2 linked regions of the Schizosaccharomyces pombe genome follow. The gene in region 1 interacts genetically with each later gene. Each region holds a gene or a part of one and is shown on either strand. Other genes may lie near its edges.

Region 1 (8,639 bases):
ACCCAAACTTCGTCAAGTTCGTAAGCGTATTGATAATGGTCTTTGCACTCAGGAAGAAGTTGAAGACATTGCCATTAATTGGCTTGATGAAGTATCAGACTTATCGAGCGATCATCTTGGTAACACCGTTGTACAAAAGCTATTCGATTATTGTTCAGACCCCGTAAAGGAAATGATGCTTGAACGCATCGCTCCTCATTTGGCCCAAATTGGTATTCACAAAAACGGTACATGGGCTGCTCAAAAGATTGTTGACGTGGCATCAACTGAGGCACAAATGCGCCTTATTGCTAAACACTTGCAGCCCTACATTCCACTACTTTTTGCTGATCAATTTGGCAACTATGTTGTGCAAACATGCTTGAAATTTGGTGCTCCAATGAACGATTTTGTTTTTGAAGCCATTCTCAACCAGTTTTGGGTAATTGCTCAAAGCCGTTATGGATCACGTGCCGTCCGCGCCTGTTTAGAGAGTCCTGATGTGACTGAAGAACAACGTGTACTTGTTGCTGCTGCTATAACAGTCTATTCCGTACACTTAGCTATGAACGGTAATGGTACGCTACTGTTAACTTATCTTGTTGAAAATATGAACTATCCTCATATTCCTATTCTTTTAACCCGGAGATTTGTTCAAGACATTGTTAGAGTTTGCACTCATCGACTAGCTTATAATTCCCTTCTTAAAATAATTTCCATATCACAAGGTGATACTGCTTGTGGTGATTTAGTCGTTGATGCTATTTTGGATACGCAAAATGATCTCAATCCAAACTCTTTAGAGAAAATACTTTTCGAACAAACTTATGGTCCGTCTTTTATTTGCAAACTCTTGACTCACGAAAATATATCAGCCTCGCATCGACAACAGTTACAAAGTGCTGTTCGAAACGTATTGGGCACTATGGAGGATCGCGGATCCTCTGAATTAAAAAAGCTGGCTGAGGTATGTGCGTAAATAACTGCATTATCGAACATTTATGAGAAAAAAATTTTGGTTTTCTTCATGGCAAGCAAGGATTCAACTATTTTTGATATATATTCAACAGTTTATATCTTTTATTTAGAGCCAGGAAGTTAGCATTATGATGATTATAATAACGTTTACAACTATCGCTTAGAAAAGGAGAGTTTTTCGCTCCCCAGTAATCTAAGAGCAAAAACCATTTGTTTCTGTTGATATCTATTTTCAGTCCAGTTTATTGTTTTTATTATTAATGAAACGTTACGCCTTTAAACTATACTTGAAAAGTTATTTTGGTGGTTTAATATCCTCTACACTTACATTTAGCTATTATATAATATATATTAACGAAATTGTGGTACACAAATATTGAAGTAGGATAAGGTTAAAGACTGGCATAATCTACCAGCCTCTGATAAACAAGTATGCTGTTGCTTTAGATTATTTCTATCTTAGATTTATACTAAATAATGAATTTTAACGTGTTCTCATGTATCAGCGACCGTGATTTAGCTTATCATCGATAGCTGTGAGCAAACCACTGTATTGGTTACCTTGTGACGATCAGCGCTGATATATGGTGTACGGTAACTTAAGTTCGTCTTCCACCGACCATCAGCGTTGCAATAAATATATTTGCAAAATTATCAGAAATAACTGGTACGCTTTTTAGTAATGTACAATAATTCACTAACGTCTTATAGATCATATATTTGGAGGGATGAACCGGAATGTTGATAAGGGATGGCAAGCACAAATTCGTCCTAATGAGAGACAGAGCATTGCCTTGCAAATGTATGCCATCATTTTTTAAAACCCTTCATCTAACTTTTGTATTTAGTGCTCAAACTTTACGAATTATCTCTCCCTCAATTTCCGAAGTCCAACTCATGAATATGGCTTTGTCATTTGAGCGTCAGGCTTTTGATGGTGCCAGTAGCAAGGTATTGAAAAAAAAAATTCAATTAATTTTGTACTTACCAGTAATAGAATGAATACTTAACTACATGTGGCAAGAAGACAGCACAATTGAGAGATCAAATACGTGACACATTGCAGGCAACCCAAATGAAACAAATGCCTTCTGTGTATAACAATGCGGGTAATGTTGGAGCTCTCCCTACTGCCGGACCTAACAGGTTGGCAAATAATCCCAGAGTAATGCCGAGACTTCAAAACCAAAATGTTCCAATGCAAGCAGGAATGCAACAGTTTGCTAGAAATATGAAGTTGACCCCACAACAAAGGCAATTTTTACTTCAACAATCTCAAATCCAGCAACAAAGGCAGCAGCAACAGCAGCAGTCGCAACAACCTCAACAAACACAACAACCGCAAGCTTCATCACCAACAGCTCCCAATACAGAAGCAAACCAACAAAGATCTGGTAGTGTTCCTGGTCGAATAGTTCCTGCATTGACCCAACAACAGTTAAATAATTTATGTAATCAAATTACAGCTTTGCTTGCAAGGAATGGCAATCCACCAATTCCTATGCAAAAATTACAATCGATGCCACCTGCGAGACTTATTTCAATATATCAAAACCAGATTCAAAAATTTCGTTCATTGCAGCATATGCAGCAACAACAGCAGCAACAACAACAACAACAACAACAACAACAACAACAACAACAACAACAACAACAACAACAACAACAACAACAACAACAACAACAAAAGCAAGCTCCGCAAAATGCTTTTTTTCCAAACCCTCAAGGTAACGTTGGTGCCCAGTCTCTTCAAAGTATGTCTCCACAAGACCAACCTTCTACTCAGCAACAGCAACCTCAGCGAACTGCTGCTCCTCCAAATAATCCTAATGTGAATGCTACGAATAATAACCGTATAAATATTGAGATGCTAAATATCCCGGTTCCTAAGCAATTGTTCGATCAAATTCCTAATTTACCTCCAAATGTCAAAATATGGAGAGATGTGTTAGAATTAGGACAATCTCAGCGTTTACCTCCGGAACAATTGAAGCTAATAGGTATGCTATATAGAAAGCACCTACAAATTATTTTGCAGCACCGACAGCAACAGCTTAATAAAATACAGAATGCTCGAATGAACTCGCAAAATGCCCCTAATACCAATAAACTGGGGAATCCACAACCTGATAATACGGGCAACCCCCAAGCGTTCTCGCAGCAAGCATTTGCTCAGCAACAGCAACAACAACAACAGCAGTTGCACCGTACTTCTAATCCTACAAGTGCTTCTGTTACTTCACAAAATGGCCAACAACCGATCAATACAAAGCTTTCAGCTAATGCCGCCAAAACTAATTATCAAAGCTATTTGACAAATAAGGCTCGCAACGCTACTCAACCCACTCAGCCGCCTGTATCTCAGGTCGACTATTCAAATAATCTACCTCCTAATCTTGATACATCGTCTACATTTAGAAGTTCTGCAAGTCCTCCTTCAGCTTTTACGAAGGCGGGGAATGAAGCACTTTCAGTTCCTCTTAGTGGTGCAAGAAACACCGCTGCTTCAAGGCCTACAAACTTAGCGGCTGGAAATAGTAGTGCTTCTATCGTTCAGCAACTGCTTGAGTGTGGAGGAACTATGGGACAACAAAAGATGACTTCGCGTATTCGAGAACTCACCGAAAGAGTAATGCATAGTTTGATGCGGCCAGTGCCTCTTGATTTGCCTCATGATCAAAAGGTTATGATTGCGAGTCTTATCAAATCTGCATATCCTATGTTTAGCCGTACAAATCAACTGATTTGCCTGTTTTACTGTTTGACAGGCAATGAGGAAGCCACGATTCAATTGATACAAATGCGTCATATATTTAAATTACAACTTGAAGGTCTTCAGCAAGGTGTTTTTACTTGTGCTCCGCAAACATTGGCCAAGATTAAGGAGAAAACCAGTCGCTATTTTGCCTTTGTGAAAGCTCAACTGTTAAGACTTCACCATGAAGTAAATAACAATAATATGAGTATTCAAAATGCTCTTGCCCATATCTCCTCGCTCCGTACTGCATCTATTAATCAACAGCAGCAGCCACAGCCACAGTCACAGCAGCAACAACAGGCTTCCCAGTTTCCTCAAGCTCCTTCTGTATCATCCAATGTACGTCCTATCAATGGATCAATTCCTAATGCGCAACCCAGTGTTCCTGGGCAAGCCCAACCTGCAGCCAAAGCAAATTCTGTTGGTAACACATCTTTTCCTGTTGACAGTAAACTTGCATTCCAATCCTTGGATGTATCTCAGCCGGATTTGCAAGCCAAACAGAAGATTGCATCACAAGTCATGAAACATGGTTTAAAACCAGAAGATCTCAAGTTACCGCCTTCTAAGAAGAAAAAGATAGAAAACTTATCGACAGTTCAAAAACCTAAGGATTCAGTCGTAAATACTCCTGATGTTATAATGTCAAGTGTAGATGAAATACCTTCTAGTGTTTCTCCAGGTACTATAGCCAAAGAGGAAGGAATGGCTAAAGCTCGGGAAGAAGCAATTGCTAATCCTTTGAAGTACGCAATCGATGCATTTGTGGCTGTAGACCATGAAGAAGAAGTTTCTGCTATCAAATCATCACAGACTCCTAGTTCTATTTTGAAAACACCTCAGTCGTTTTTCATTCCTCCGTCAACTCCAGATTTATCATTTACAGATAACAAAAACTCACTTAGTCCATCTAATATTTTGTCATTGGACGGAAAATTTTCATTTAATGATGATTCGGAGCTTTGGGCTGATTTAGGTAATGAAATCAACTCTGAAATCGGATTTTTAAAGGAACCAGATACCATGAATCTTGCTTTGGATGCAGATAAAGATAAGACTAAAATGCAAAATAAGCTTACTCAAATTAATTTTGATGAATCATGTTTTCTAGATCCAGCGATCGACGATAAAGATCCATGGAATGAAATGCTTCATGAAAAGAAAGTTTTGCTAAAGCAGCTTCAAGTGGGTAACGAAGATGAAGACAACATCGCATTTCCAACATCTACAAACATATGGCAAGTTGTGATTTAAAATTTTGTGATACGATGGTTCGCAATTGTTTTTTATTTATTTATTGCACGTCGTCTCAAAAAGCAAATTGGACATATTTGTCCTTCTACAATATCTTATGAATACCATAGACATATATTGTTTCTCTGTTTATTCAACGTTTCTCCATTTTTTGAAAGCATCTGTTATGTTGAAAATTGTGATTGGGAAAAGGTTTGTATAGTCCTTGTGTTTATATACAATGATAAAAATAGAACCTGAATTTAATATTTTGAAGATCCGGTTGTACCTTTATTAGGCACAATGCCAGAAAGTATGGCTTTTTCCCGATTAATGACCTGTCTATGAGACTCATTGTGAACATGAAAATGTCGGTATAATGAGGACCGTTACAAATTTTATTTATTCATACGTTTAAGTTGATTTTAGTTAATTTATTATTAGTGCACCGGTTGGTGTTGAAAATTAATTTGTAATCTCTTAAATGAATATTTGTATAGTTTTTAATGTTTACTATCTCAAATATTCTAAAAGTAGCTATCAGTTTATGTTTTTGCTTTGGTTCAAGAGCTTTGGTTTAACCTAACCGCCAAATAGCTATCTCGAATTACCATCTAACATGAGAAAACAAATTAATATTTCAAAACTCCCGATAATTTATTGAGCTTAATAATTAATTAAAATTTACGTATTATTGAAGTCAATAAAAGCTTTCTTTGTCTTCCATGAACAAAGAAACCTTGTGATCTCAGTCTTGTATATAACACGCTAACTCGTGGCCTACTGTAAATAAAAGTTATCTTACTAACGATATATTATTTCTTGATTCATTGAAATAAGAATCGTAGGATTTAACAATAATTGAATACAGAGATCTCCTAGCTTCATTATTAAGTACAAAATAGTCAATTAATTTTTTTATCAAGCAGATTAATTGCTTTTAAACTTACAATGAATGGTATAAGGAAAAAACCAGCAACCTTGCAACTCCATAATATAAAAACCAGCTGTTTCATTGATGGCAGTGATGATCAAAGCGATAGAACAAGGTCAAGTTCTGGAGATAGCACCTCTAATTCACTGAAGCTATCACATCATATATCTGACGAACTGATCAATGCCATATATAAAGAGTTAAAGTCGCCAGTATCACCTTGGGACAAAAACATTTCGCAGCATTCGCCATGGCTGTTGGAAGCGGCATCGAACTCCATTGGTGATTCAAGTCCTTTACTTTCACCAATCTCTCCATTAAAGTTAAGATTTCATAAATATTCGGTTTCGAAACAGCTAAACAGCGTTGGAAAGCAGGGTTTTGGTCTTTCTTCAAACCATAGTCGTTATGCCTCACCATCCTCCCCTGCACGGCTTGCAAGAGGTGCACTTGGTGAGGAACTTAGCAATTCGCAATACAGATTAGAATGCGCCGCAATTCAGAAGCTTGTTGCTCAAAAACGAGCCAATAGAAGGAGTAGTAAAAGCACTTTAAAAAATTCTGCAAATGATATAGAGTTTTTCGATATTGAAGAAGTTTCCTCTCGCAAGGGACTAATAGACAGAACACCTTCTAAAAGAAATGTTACTTCCCGAGTTTCTGATGCGTATTCTCGTCTTAAATCTGCTGTGAAAGGCGAATCAAGCTTGTCCTTTAAAAGAAACCGATCGAAATCGAAGAGGAAAATTCAGCACCTGGGTTTGACTGAGTTTAATGGGTGGGAACACCATCAGTGCGACTGGCTATAAAATAAGTGTTACTCAGATGCTCCATGTTAGGCTACATGGTGCTAGCCATGTGGTAATTAACATTCATTTATTTCCTTCATTACTTTCTTCCTTAGTCCTCCTATCTCTTATTAGCTGGAAAGCTTTTATCATTTGCATTTTTCTTGTTAATTGGTCTTTCATTTATCTCGTCGTGTGCATTGAGATTTCCTATTTAAGTTTACGACTCATATTGTTTAATCTAATTTATTGTTTGTTTCTAATTATTCTTAATTTACTACCATAAAATTAAATTACTTAAAATTGGATACGTTCTATATGGTATGCATACGATTGCAATAAATCTTTAAAAGCATTACCCACTAAAATATTATACTATGTAACTACAAATTGTAGATACCTTCTGAAATTGATGATGTAAACAACATATTTAATTATATACAATTCCTTTGCGCAGATTTTACAGGCTTTAAAAGCGAGTGAAGATTAATTTTATATATTTGTAGTCCTATTACGTTCATAAACAGATTTCTGAAACATTAACATAAACTGGGTGCCACAAAACTAAATTAGTTTAATCTTCTCATAACATAGATTTATTAGTATGCACACTGTGAATTATGAAACACTGACATTCAGTAGCCAAAAATTCGTAAATTATTAAATATCTAGTTTCCAATTTTCTACGTTTTTATTTGAATGTGCAGTTAATCTGTAAGTATTTCCTTGTTGTTGATTGTGACACTCTTAGTCATATTCGCCGTTTTATAAATGCCAACCAAACGAGAAGATAACTCAAACATATTACTTCTTAAAGAAATAACAATAAACTGCGCGTTTTTAGTTCTTTCCTTAATGTAATTCGCAACAATCGAAACGTTTTTAAAGTCTAATGCAGCATCGATTTCGTCCATAACGTATAAAGGAGTCGGTTTGTAATTATGTAGAGCAAAGACAAGGGCTAGAGAACTTAACGTCTTCTCTCCTCCCGAAAGGTTAGATATGTTCTTCCAAGATTTTTTGGGAGGCATCACACTAAACAATACCCCCTCAGAAAACGGATCCAAACTATCCACTAACTCAAGCTCTGCGTTTCCGCCCATAGTAATAATTTGATACATTTCTTTAAGCTTCATAGATATAATTCCAAATCCGTACATAAACTCATCGAGCCTCTGAGATTGAAGATCTGTAACGACTTTTTTCAAATCGGTTCTTTTTTGCAATTCACTTTGGTAATCAGAATCACGCTTTTCTGCTTCCTTGTTACATCTACGATATTCAGACAAAACATTGATATCTACTTCTCTGTCTTCAGTTTTCTTTTTCAAGACTGAAATATTAGAGACCAGCTCGCTTTTATCAACTGAACTCAGTTCATCTTCAGAATATTCGGGAAAAGTTGAGTCCATTGTTGTCTGGTCACAAAATTCAGTCAAATTGTGTAACTTCAGATTTGACATGAGCTTTAAATATTTATTTTCATTATTGCCGACCTCTGATAATGCCGTACGCTGCTCTTGAATTTGATTTTCCAATTCAATCCTTTCTGCTTTAACGGAATTCATTTGCTTAGATTCAAATTCAATAAATTTTACTAGTTCGTCGATAGAGGAATTGATGTCCCATAGAGCATTTTCAAATTCGCGGAGCCGAGATTTGTGTTCATCCACATACTTGTTTAACGATTGTAGTTCAGTCTTTAAAGTGGCTATACTTTCAGTAGTTGTATCGTACTCGCTAGTAAGGTTTGATAGTTCAACTTGGAAAGATTGACTGCGTTGCTCATTCTTCTTCTTCTTGAAACTCATTTTGTTAAGCTTGTCTTTAACAAATTTGAGTTGCTCATGCAAATCGTCGACCTTTGATTTTTGTATACGATATCGAATCCCACCTATTTCCATGATCTTATCTTGTAACGTCTTAATTTCAGTGACAAGGCCTTCATTGTTAATATTTATGGCCTCAA
Region 2 (10,015 bases), on another chromosome or scaffold:
CTTTAGCAAGAGGTTTAGCATCAGTAATCTTTAGTTTCGAAGGGCTAAAGAAACACGACCAAAAATAAGCCTGAGCACTAATAATTGAGACATTCGAAGTTTTTGAGTCACACACAGCAAAAGTACAGTTATATAAACAAGACAACACAAGTACATCCAAAGGGCTTGAATGATTCACTGCCAAGATATCACCCGGTTGAAGGCTATCACCCTGAACGAAACTTCTACTCATGATTAGTTTCTGAAAAATAAAAAATGTAAGATGCACGAGGGACTTAATGGGCATACCCTGAAGTTGACTTTGATAATTTAAGACATCCAAAACATAAAAGGAGTAAACGGGAGAGACTCGAATCAATAAAAAAACTAAGTTTCGGCTGTATAGATAGTATAGGTTTCAAAAAACAAGACCAGAGAAACCATAATGTTACAGAAATGATGCAAAGAGGAACTCGCAATATCATAACAACAACTATAAGGATCCATTTAAAATTAAATCCACTAGGAGTTTCTGTATTTATAGGATGGAATGGAGCTATGCCCGTTCCCGGATCTAAAAGGGTTAATGAATCTGCATTAAAGTCATTTTGTTAAGAGAAATTGACAAACACTCGATCTTAAAGTCAAGAATCATAATACAAAATAATTGGCTTCTATTTTTTGCTTTTATTTTTTTTTGCGTTCTATTTAAACAACATTTATGTGAACAATCAAGCATTTAAAGTATTGCATATTCTTACCTCTCCAGCGAGTAAATTTCTCCATTTCACAATGAAAATGATAAAATATTACAAATATTATTTTTAGTAGAGTAATATGGATTTCAGTCGTAAAAATGAAGTAGTGATTTCAAAGTGGTAGCTACTAAGATTCACTTCTAGGTTTAAGTGTTGCTTTGACCATGACTATATACTATATGCATTTGTTCCACCATTTGAGGATTTTGGATTTTTCATTAATGTTGCATAAAAAGTATTAAAACACTTTTGCACGAGCATTGTTAATTGTAGTAATACTGATACTATTATCGCGTACGACTATAAATATCAAAATGTCCGGTAGGCGATATAGTCAAATTTCTCAACAAGAAGGATCTAGCAGTAGTGATGATAGTGATTCGCAACAAAAAAAGACAAAACGTACTGTTGCTCACCGAAGCCCAAATACTACTTTAAATGGCATGCCTCGCGTAGATTCACGAGCGAGGCCTAATGAAAACAGTGGACAATCCAAATCTAGCAACGGAAGAGTAGACACTGACAGAAAAATGGATCTTTTGCGCAAAAGGAGTAACCTTGTACATCAAACCCTGCTTCTTGAGAAAGAGGTGAGGGTTAGACGAAATGCAATTAACCAACGCGACGATTCGTTTTTAAGCGGATTTATAAAATCATTATTAGAGATTGATTCCTCTGTAGTAATTTATAATACCGAAAACCCTGATAATCCTAAAACAAAGCAAGTTATGCCATCTGCTGAACCCAAAAAACATGTTAAATTGAATTCGTCCATATCATCCATTCGTTTCACACAACATGAATTTGAAGCGGAATCCGAGAAAATCATTCATCATTCTCTTAAAGGAGATATAGAATATCTCCCAAGCTTCAAATTTTTACTAGAAATTAAGGTCCGAACAATCGATTATGCTCTTTTATTTATTACTTATAAAATCCCGCATTTTGCTAGAAAAGAGCTCAGTAGTTTTTCGGACTCTGCAATACAATGTCTCGATATAGTAGCTCTTTTGAGAGCGTTCTCATTATTTGCCCACCATTACTCATATCGCTGCAATACGTGGTTTTATTTATCAAAGCATATGAAAAAAGTGGCATCAGCAAACATGGACGCTCAATGTTTCTATGTTCAAAATTCCTTTTACAAAATTACAATACTTTATGAGATAAAATTTGATGATCTTGGTTTTGTACAACCTAATTACTGCATCTCTTATATACTAAAGAATCAAAATGAAAAAATTGTAAGCATCACATCAAAGTTGCTTAATCAATTAGACAAACGTTTTTCGGAATTTGTATCGCTTTTCGGATTCAGAGAAGGTTCACTACTATTATTACAGGCATTATTTAAACCTCATTTGGGGTAAGAAGGATAAATTGATATTTTTAACATGGTTTATTGAAGCTAAATGTTAAAGCGGAGAAGGGGTTGCATATTCAACTTCTTGTTTAATTTCCACCTTGGGTATTTCAATACTATTGAGCACTTGGTGCAACTGAAAAGAAGTGTTATCTTTCTTAGAACTATCATTGCTTTTCGTGTTCAAGCCAATAGCTTTCGTAATTTTAGTGGAAGAAGTAATCTTTGTTTGTTCGGAAGATTTTTGTTTTGAAGTTCTTTTGGCAGAATGGGACTTGAGTTTCCAACTTGGAGCATCTAATAAAGGCTTCAGACGTCTAATAGCAATTTGAAGGTCTCCTTGTACAACCAGGTCGCATAAGTTCAAAAAATCTTTCGTAGGTTCGTCATAATTCAACCAAATAACATTTCCCTTCTGTTTATGCACACAGTTGCTCATTTCCTTGATAATTCTTTTGACACCAGGGATTTTACAAGAAGTACCAGCAACAATTAGACAGTCAGGGCGGGACTTTAAATCTTGTGAACAGACCGAACCAATAGATTCGGAATCCGGATGTATCTCATTGTACAAAACAATCCGAGGACGAAGGCAACCCTCGATAACTGATCTTTTTCCTGCTATACGACGAACCTCGTTCTCGGTTTTACAGTCAGGGCAAACAGTAACACCATTTCTATCAAATATATCTGGATTAAATTTTTTCAAAAAGCTGCACCTTGTGCAACTTACAACTTCCAGTGTCCCGTGAAGAGGAATCGTGGTAGGCCAAGGGGCAGACTGCGGCAATGGAATACATGTTTGAAGGCCCTCGAGTCTGGTTTCTAAAAAATCAATATTTTGTGTGTATAAACGTAACAGCTTAGATTCTTGGGCTAGTTGAGATAAAAATAAATGGAAATCAGTGGGGCGTGCATTATTAGAAAGCATATGTAGCTTTCTAATCATTGCGTGAAAGATGTTAACACTCTTAAGATCTCTGTAAACAGATCCATCAAACAATTCCTTCCCGGAGCAGTTCAATTTATACTCCGCACGAAGGGAGGAGAAAAGACCCTCAGAGGAACGGAAATCAGGAATTCCAGCATCACAAGAAATTCCAGCACCTGTTTAAACGTATTAGTAAATGAGCCTTTGTACGATTATAATATTTAATTTTTTTTTTAATCCCACTTTTTTTTTAAGTGAAAAGTTAAAATAAAAGAAGGAAAACCATAAATAAGCAACATACCAGTAACAACGACTATGCGCTTTGCCTTGCGAATGGCAGAAACTAAAGGAGATAAATCGACATTTTCATTGCCTGTATGAAGTCTAAGTGGAAGCTTGGAAAGTAATTGCTGCCTTTTCGAAGCATTTTCAGAAGATTGGCATTTTCTCTTCCTCGACTCCTGTATTAGAGGGACGTGCTCCTCCACTTTCATACTAAGCTACGTAAATTTGGAATTTTTTAAATCCAAAAAGTTGAGTGCATTAATTAAAATATATTAAAATCATTGAACTCTTCGACTTCTTCCTAAAATGGAATGGTTGAGGAATTAAGTTGTGATTGACGGTTAGGCGGTTGTGTCTACGTACGTTTCGAAAGGCCGTTGAAGGACAATTATATCGCTTGAAAGACTCAATTTCGCCATGTCTTTGTATAACAGTAATCGCAATTTTTTTCTCTATTCACTTTTAAAAATGCCGTTGAACCAATGTTTATTTAGAGTACTGATTTTTTTGTTTTTACCCATTTAATAAAATGTTCAGACTAGAAAATCAGCTTTCATGCTGACATTAATAAAAAGAATAAAATTAAGTCTTCAATAATCCTTCTGAGATTTCTCCTTCTATCAATATATAAATTGTCTAAATAGTCAAATGAAATAAATAAATATATACAGAAACTGGTAATAAAAATATTAAAACAAAAAGGGATTGCAAAAATTTAAAAAAACAATTGAAGTTCCATTTTCTTAAATATTGGGAAAACTTTCAAGAGTTTTAAGTACAGTATTTTTCCTTGACATTTAATTGAAAAAGTTGGAAGGTGAAGTCTTTCATAAAATTCTCAAAAAAATAACAAAACCAATAAATATATCTTTGAATCTTTGGTAAAATATCCATGCAGTTAAAAAAATTTAGTAAAACCAATCGGTCAAATTTTTAATTAGTTTATTTCTTTCAGAAACTATTGTTTTCTCTGTCTCGATTCCCCTCTCAATTGTAATTAAAGAAGTAAATAAATACATTATGTTTTCATGAACAATTGAAACAAAGAAGCATACGTTTATGTGAAAAGTTTCGACGTTTTTGTGTAAACTATTTAACGTTATGGGATAGTAAACAATAAAATATATAGAAATTTTTTGAAATTAATGATCTTTAAATTTAATAAAAGCATGCGAACTGAAGCATTTTATGAAATACGAATTTGCCTTCACGTTTTGCACAGTTAATTTGAAAATGAAATAAAATCTGCAGACTTGCTCGGAAATACGAACCGGAAATGAAAATTGTAAGCTAACTTAATTTCCATGGAGTGAATGAGAATAGCTCGTACATTTTATGGCAAAGGATTTTTTTGTTTGTAAAGGTCTTGCATTTTCGCAAAAATTGAGAGTGGAAATTGCATGAGTAAAAATAGTGAATCCTTCTCAAAAGGTAAATTTTATTAATAAAAAGGGACTCTGGAGAAGTAATTTGATACCAAAATCACCTGCATTGCCTGGCATTTCATTTATAGTGTTGCATATTTTTGCACTATTAATTTCTGCCAACAACATAGTAATTTCAATTAATAGCCTTATAGGCATACTGCTTATTCCTATTAATCCTTTGTTGCTTCACTGTTAATATCCAGATATATATTTAAAAAAAAGCATTTTAAGCTTTTAAAAGAGAGTCTGCAAAGGAGCGCCTACTTTGTGGACGTTCTCAACATTTAACATTATATAAATTTTCTGGAGTAACAAGAATGGAGCCTGAACATTCGAATTATGATTTAAAAAATCATCCTACGAGCGTTCAAGAGTCTACTTTAAATGGCTCTGCAGTAACTGATCCTCAGTTTGGAAATACAACAAATTCTCTACCTAGCATGAATGGCCTGTTAAATCATGAAAATTCTTTCGCTTCGCAGCAATCTTTATCGTCTTCTGCCTTTGATGATTCTGAAATCGTAACCAGCACTGCTAATAGCACAGTTGTATCTTCTGCTTTGTCTACCCCTAAAATTGACGATGCGCAAAACTCTGACGATGTTAGAGTAGATGGTACAAGACGTTCTTCAAGGGCTAAACGACCCGTTTATCGTGATTTCTCTTATACTGAAATTGACGAGCATGAAATTCCGATTCCTAAAAAACGAAAGAGCAAACCTGCACCAAAGCAAAAAAAGTCTGTGGCTAGCGATGATGAAGACGCATATGATAAGAGACATAGATTCAGTATTAACTCTGCTTCCGGAACCGAAATCCGTACTTCATTGCGATCTTCAAAAGGTAAAAGCGTCAACTACAATGAACAAGAATTTTACGACGACTTCGAGGACGAAGAAGAGGAAGTAGAAGAACAGGTCGAAGAGGAATATGAGCCTATTATTGATTTCGTTTTAAATCACCGAAAGCGAGCGGATGCACAAGACGATGACCCGAAGTCTAGCTATCAGTATTTAATTAAATGGCAGGAAGTTTCCCATCTTCATAATACTTGGGAAGATTATTCTACGCTTTCTTCTGTGAGGGGCTACAAAAAAGTCGACAATTATATAAAGCAAAACATCATTTATGATCGCGAGATTCGTGAAGATCCAACTACAACCTTTGAAGATATCGAAGCTCTGGATATTGAACGCGAACGTAAAAATATGCTTTTTGAAGAGTATAAAATTGTCGAACGCATAGTAGCTTCTGAAACTAACGAAGAAGGAAAAACAGAATACTTTGTAAAGTGGAGGCAGCTTCCTTATGATAATTGCACATGGGAAGATGCCGACGTAATTTATTCTATGGCACCAAATGAAGTTTATCAATTCTTGCAACGTGAAAACAGTCCGTATCTCCCTTATAAAGGTGTTTTCTATAACACCCGTCCCCCGTACCGCAAGTTAGAAAAGCAACCATCTTACATTAAAGGGGGGGAAATCCGTGATTTTCAACTTACTGGTATAAACTGGATGGCATATTTATGGCACCGGAATGAAAATGGTATTTTAGCAGATGAAATGGGTTTGGGTAAAACCGTGCAAACTGTGTGCTTTTTATCTTATTTAGTCCATTCTTTAAAACAACACGGTCCTTTCCTTATTGTCGTACCGCTTTCCACTGTTCCGGCTTGGCAAGAAACATTGGCCAATTGGACACCTGATTTGAATAGTATTTGCTATACAGGTAATACGGAATCTCGTGCTAATATTAGAGAGTATGAATTCTACCTTTCTACGAATTCTCGCAAGCTTAAATTTAACATTCTACTTACGACCTATGAGTATATATTGAAAGATAAGCAAGAACTCAACAATATTCGCTGGCAATATCTTGCTATCGATGAAGCTCATCGACTCAAAAACAGTGAATCATCTTTATACGAGACCTTATCTCAATTTCGGACTGCCAATAGATTATTAATAACAGGCACTCCTCTTCAAAACAATCTCAAGGAGCTGGCATCCTTGGTTAATTTTTTGATGCCTGGAAAATTTTACATTAGAGATGAATTAAATTTTGATCAACCAAATGCTGAACAAGAGCGCGACATCCGAGATCTACAAGAAAGATTACAACCCTTCATTCTCCGTCGCTTAAAAAAAGATGTAGAGAAATCTTTACCGTCCAAATCTGAGCGTATTCTTCGAGTCGAACTATCTGATATGCAAACTGAATGGTACAAGAACATTTTAACTAAAAATTACCGCGCCTTGACAGGTCATACCGATGGCCGAGGTCAGCTATCCTTACTCAATATAGTTGTAGAGTTGAAAAAAGTATCAAATCATCCCTATCTGTTTCCTGGCGCAGCGGAAAAATGGATGATGGGTAGAAAGATGACTCGAGAAGATACGCTGAGAGGTATTATCATGAATAGTGGTAAAATGGTACTTCTTGATAAACTGCTGCAGCGTTTGAAACATGATGGACATCGCGTATTAATTTTCAGTCAAATGGTTCGTATGTTGAATATTCTTGGAGAGTACATGTCCTTGCGCGGATATAATTATCAAAGATTGGACGGTACCATCCCAGCTTCTGTACGCAGAGTTTCAATTGATCATTTCAATGCACCAGATAGCCCTGATTTTGTGTTTTTACTTAGTACCCGTGCAGGGGGACTAGGCATTAACCTAAATACTGCAGATACTGTTATTATTTTTGATTCTGATTGGAATCCCCAAGCAGATTTACAAGCTATGGCAAGAGCGCATAGAATTGGTCAAAAAAATCATGTCAATGTTTACCGCTTTTTATCAAAAGACACAGTCGAGGAGGATATATTAGAGCGTGCAAGAAGAAAAATGATTTTAGAATATGCGATCATCTCTTTGGGTGTTACTGAAAAATCAAAAAATTCCAAAAACGATAAGTATGATGCCCAAGAGCTGAGTGCCATTTTAAAATTTGGTGCTTCTAATATGTTCAAGGCAACTGAAAATCAGAAAAAGCTCGAAAACATGAATTTGGATGATATACTTAGTCACGCTGAAGATCGTGATTCTTCTAACGACGTGGGTGGAGCAAGTATGGGTGGTGAAGAATTTTTGAAACAATTTGAGGTTACTGATTATAAGGCTGAAGACCTAAATTGGGATGACATTATTCCTGAAGAAGAAATGGAACGCATCGAAGAGGAAGAACGCATGCTTGCCGCTCAACGAGCAAAGGAAGAAGAACGCGAACGAAGAGAAGAAGAAGAACGTGAGAATGATGAGGATCATCCTTCTAGAACATACAAAAGAACCACTAAGTCCATCACTAAGCGTCAACAAAGACGTGAGGAAATGGTTCGTGAAAAAGAGATTCGACTTCTTTATCGTGCCATGATCAAATTTGGGTTAGTGGATGAACGGTTTGACACAATAGTCAAGGAAGCCGAGTTACAGGCTACTGACCCGAAACGTATTTATTCTTTATCCGCCGATATGGTTAAGGCTTGTGATGAGGCTGTGGAACGCTTGGGAGCAGATGACACTAAGAATAAGCAACCTAGAAAAGCCATTTTGATTGAGTTCAAAGGGGTTAAAAATATTAATGCTGAAACTGTTACGCTACGTGTTAAAGACTTAACTCACCTGCATCGTGCTTACAAAGGCCTTGATCCTTTGAAACAGATAATTGGATATCCTATTCGAAGCGTTCATAGTTGGAATTGTTCATGGGGTATTAAAGAAGATTCTATGCTTTTAGCTGGTATTAATAAACACGGGTTTGGTTGTTGGCAAGCAATAAAAAATGACCCGGACTTAGGCTTACACGATAAAATATTTTTGGACGAAGCTAAAAATGACAAAGAGTCACGCTATGTTCCTAGTGCTGTTCATCTTGTACGTAGAGGAGAGTATCTTCTTAGTGTTGTTCGTGAACATCCTGATTTGTTTGTCGTTAAGACTGATCAACCAACAAAACGCAAATATAATCGTAAAGCGCCAACTAAATCATCAACTCGGCAAACCACCTTGGATGGTTCTATTAGCAATACAAAGAAAAGTAGTCGTACGAAGAAAAAGAAGGAAGAAGAAACTAATCGAGGCGATGAAACCTCTCCTGAAGGAACAGTGGGAGAAGATGAAGTGGAAGAAGAACCCAGACAAGCTGAACCTCCTAAGCGTGCATTAAGATCAAATAGTGGTAAAGCAGCTTCTAATAAGAGAACAACTAGGAACTCAATGAAGACACATTCCGCGATGGATACATTGACAGCGGTGGCTGCTTTGGACGCTGAGCTTGATAACATGTCTAACGAAAAGGCGAAGGAAGAAGTTGATCATGTTAAATCGGAAAATGGGGAATCAGTAAACGAACCTAATACCGAAGACCTCTCTTTAGAAACCGAAGAAAATACTACCGTTTCTGACATAAGTCCCTTAGTAAAAAACGAGGCATAAGGAGTTAAAAGATGATTTTTTACTGTCTAAGGCTGACGCTGCCTTGTTACTACAAGTGTAACAAAATTCAATAAACAATTTTGGCTTACACATTTTCTTAACTTTATATATATATATTTTAATCAGGGTAATTCTTTACTTTTAAAAAGTTACACGATTTAGAAAATTAATGAATAGACTCGATTTTGGTTTTAAAACACATTACAGAAGAAATTTCACATTCATAACCAGTAACCAAAAGATCTAAAACTAAACACAGAAAATATGATTTTCGACAATAATAAATGAACAGAATTTGAAGAATGCAGCTTAACCGAAAGCAACGTTGATACAATAATTAATAAGTAGATGACTGTCTATAGCAAAGTTATCGTATAGATTACCCACAATTTCATCAGGAGAAGGAGCAAACGATGAATTAACGTACAGTACCTATGGATTATAAGTTAGAGAAAGTTTTGAGTTTGTATAAGCGGACAAACTTACCAAGGAAGAGTTCATCGGTAGTCCAAGCTCTTTCTTTAAAAACCGAGTCACTTTTTCGAATCTTTGACTAGCATTGATTGAAAAAACAGTCTTTCGAAGTAAGGGTGTTCTTCCAATTGCTTTAAATCGTAAATTAACTAAAAATAATGGTTAAACAATTGAAAAATGAAACGTGAAGGCTAGCACTAATTCATTACAAACCTCTTCGATTCTCTTTCTCTCTATATGTGTTGATTATGGTCTCAATGGATGGAAGCTGATTTTCGATATCCTCATTTTGGCTATCTTCCTCAGTAGCCAAGCGTTTTTCGAGTTCCTGTTGATCGACTAATCCCGTCATTAATACC

What was found.
Region 2: mutations in med15 (region 1) and hrp1 are lethal when combined (synthetic lethality), as found in Schizosaccharomyces pombe (one study listed by BioGRID).

Annotation. Positions count from the first base shown.
Region 1 is NC_003423.3:995,112-1,003,750, forward strand, and holds med15 (mediator complex subunit Med15), read left to right. Parts: upstream 1-1,571; 5' UTR 1,572-1,685; coding exon 1,686-1,759; exon of another isoform or gene 1,760-1,805; coding exon 1,806-1,908; exon of another isoform or gene 1,909-1,954; coding exon 1,955-4,969; 3' UTR 4,970-5,064; downstream 5,065-8,639. Other genes in the region: pumilio family RNA-binding protein Puf2, read left to right, coding at 1-958; SPOM_SPBC146.02 (uncharacterized protein), read left to right, coding at 5,900-6,691; cut3 (condensin complex SMC subunit Smc4), read right to left, coding at 7,378-8,639.
Region 2 is NC_003424.3:2,189,957-2,199,971, forward strand, and holds hrp1 (CENP-A chaperone, CHD family Hrp1), read left to right. Parts: upstream 1-4,864; 5' UTR 4,865-5,060; coding exon 5,061-9,182; 3' UTR 9,183-9,491; downstream 9,492-10,015. Other genes in the region: vps66 (acyltransferase), read right to left, coding at 1-224, 289-553, 741-765; CENP-P family protein Fta2, read left to right, coding at 1,052-2,107; histone deacetylase, Sirtuin family, NAD-dependent Hst4, read right to left, coding at 2,153-3,207, 3,333-3,525; autophagy-associated ubiquitin-like modifier Atg12, read right to left, coding at 9,492-9,614, 9,669-9,805, 9,870-10,008. UniProt on the Schizosaccharomyces pombe protein: Seems to play a role in mitotic chromosome segregation and maintenance of chromatin structure. Has ATPase activity.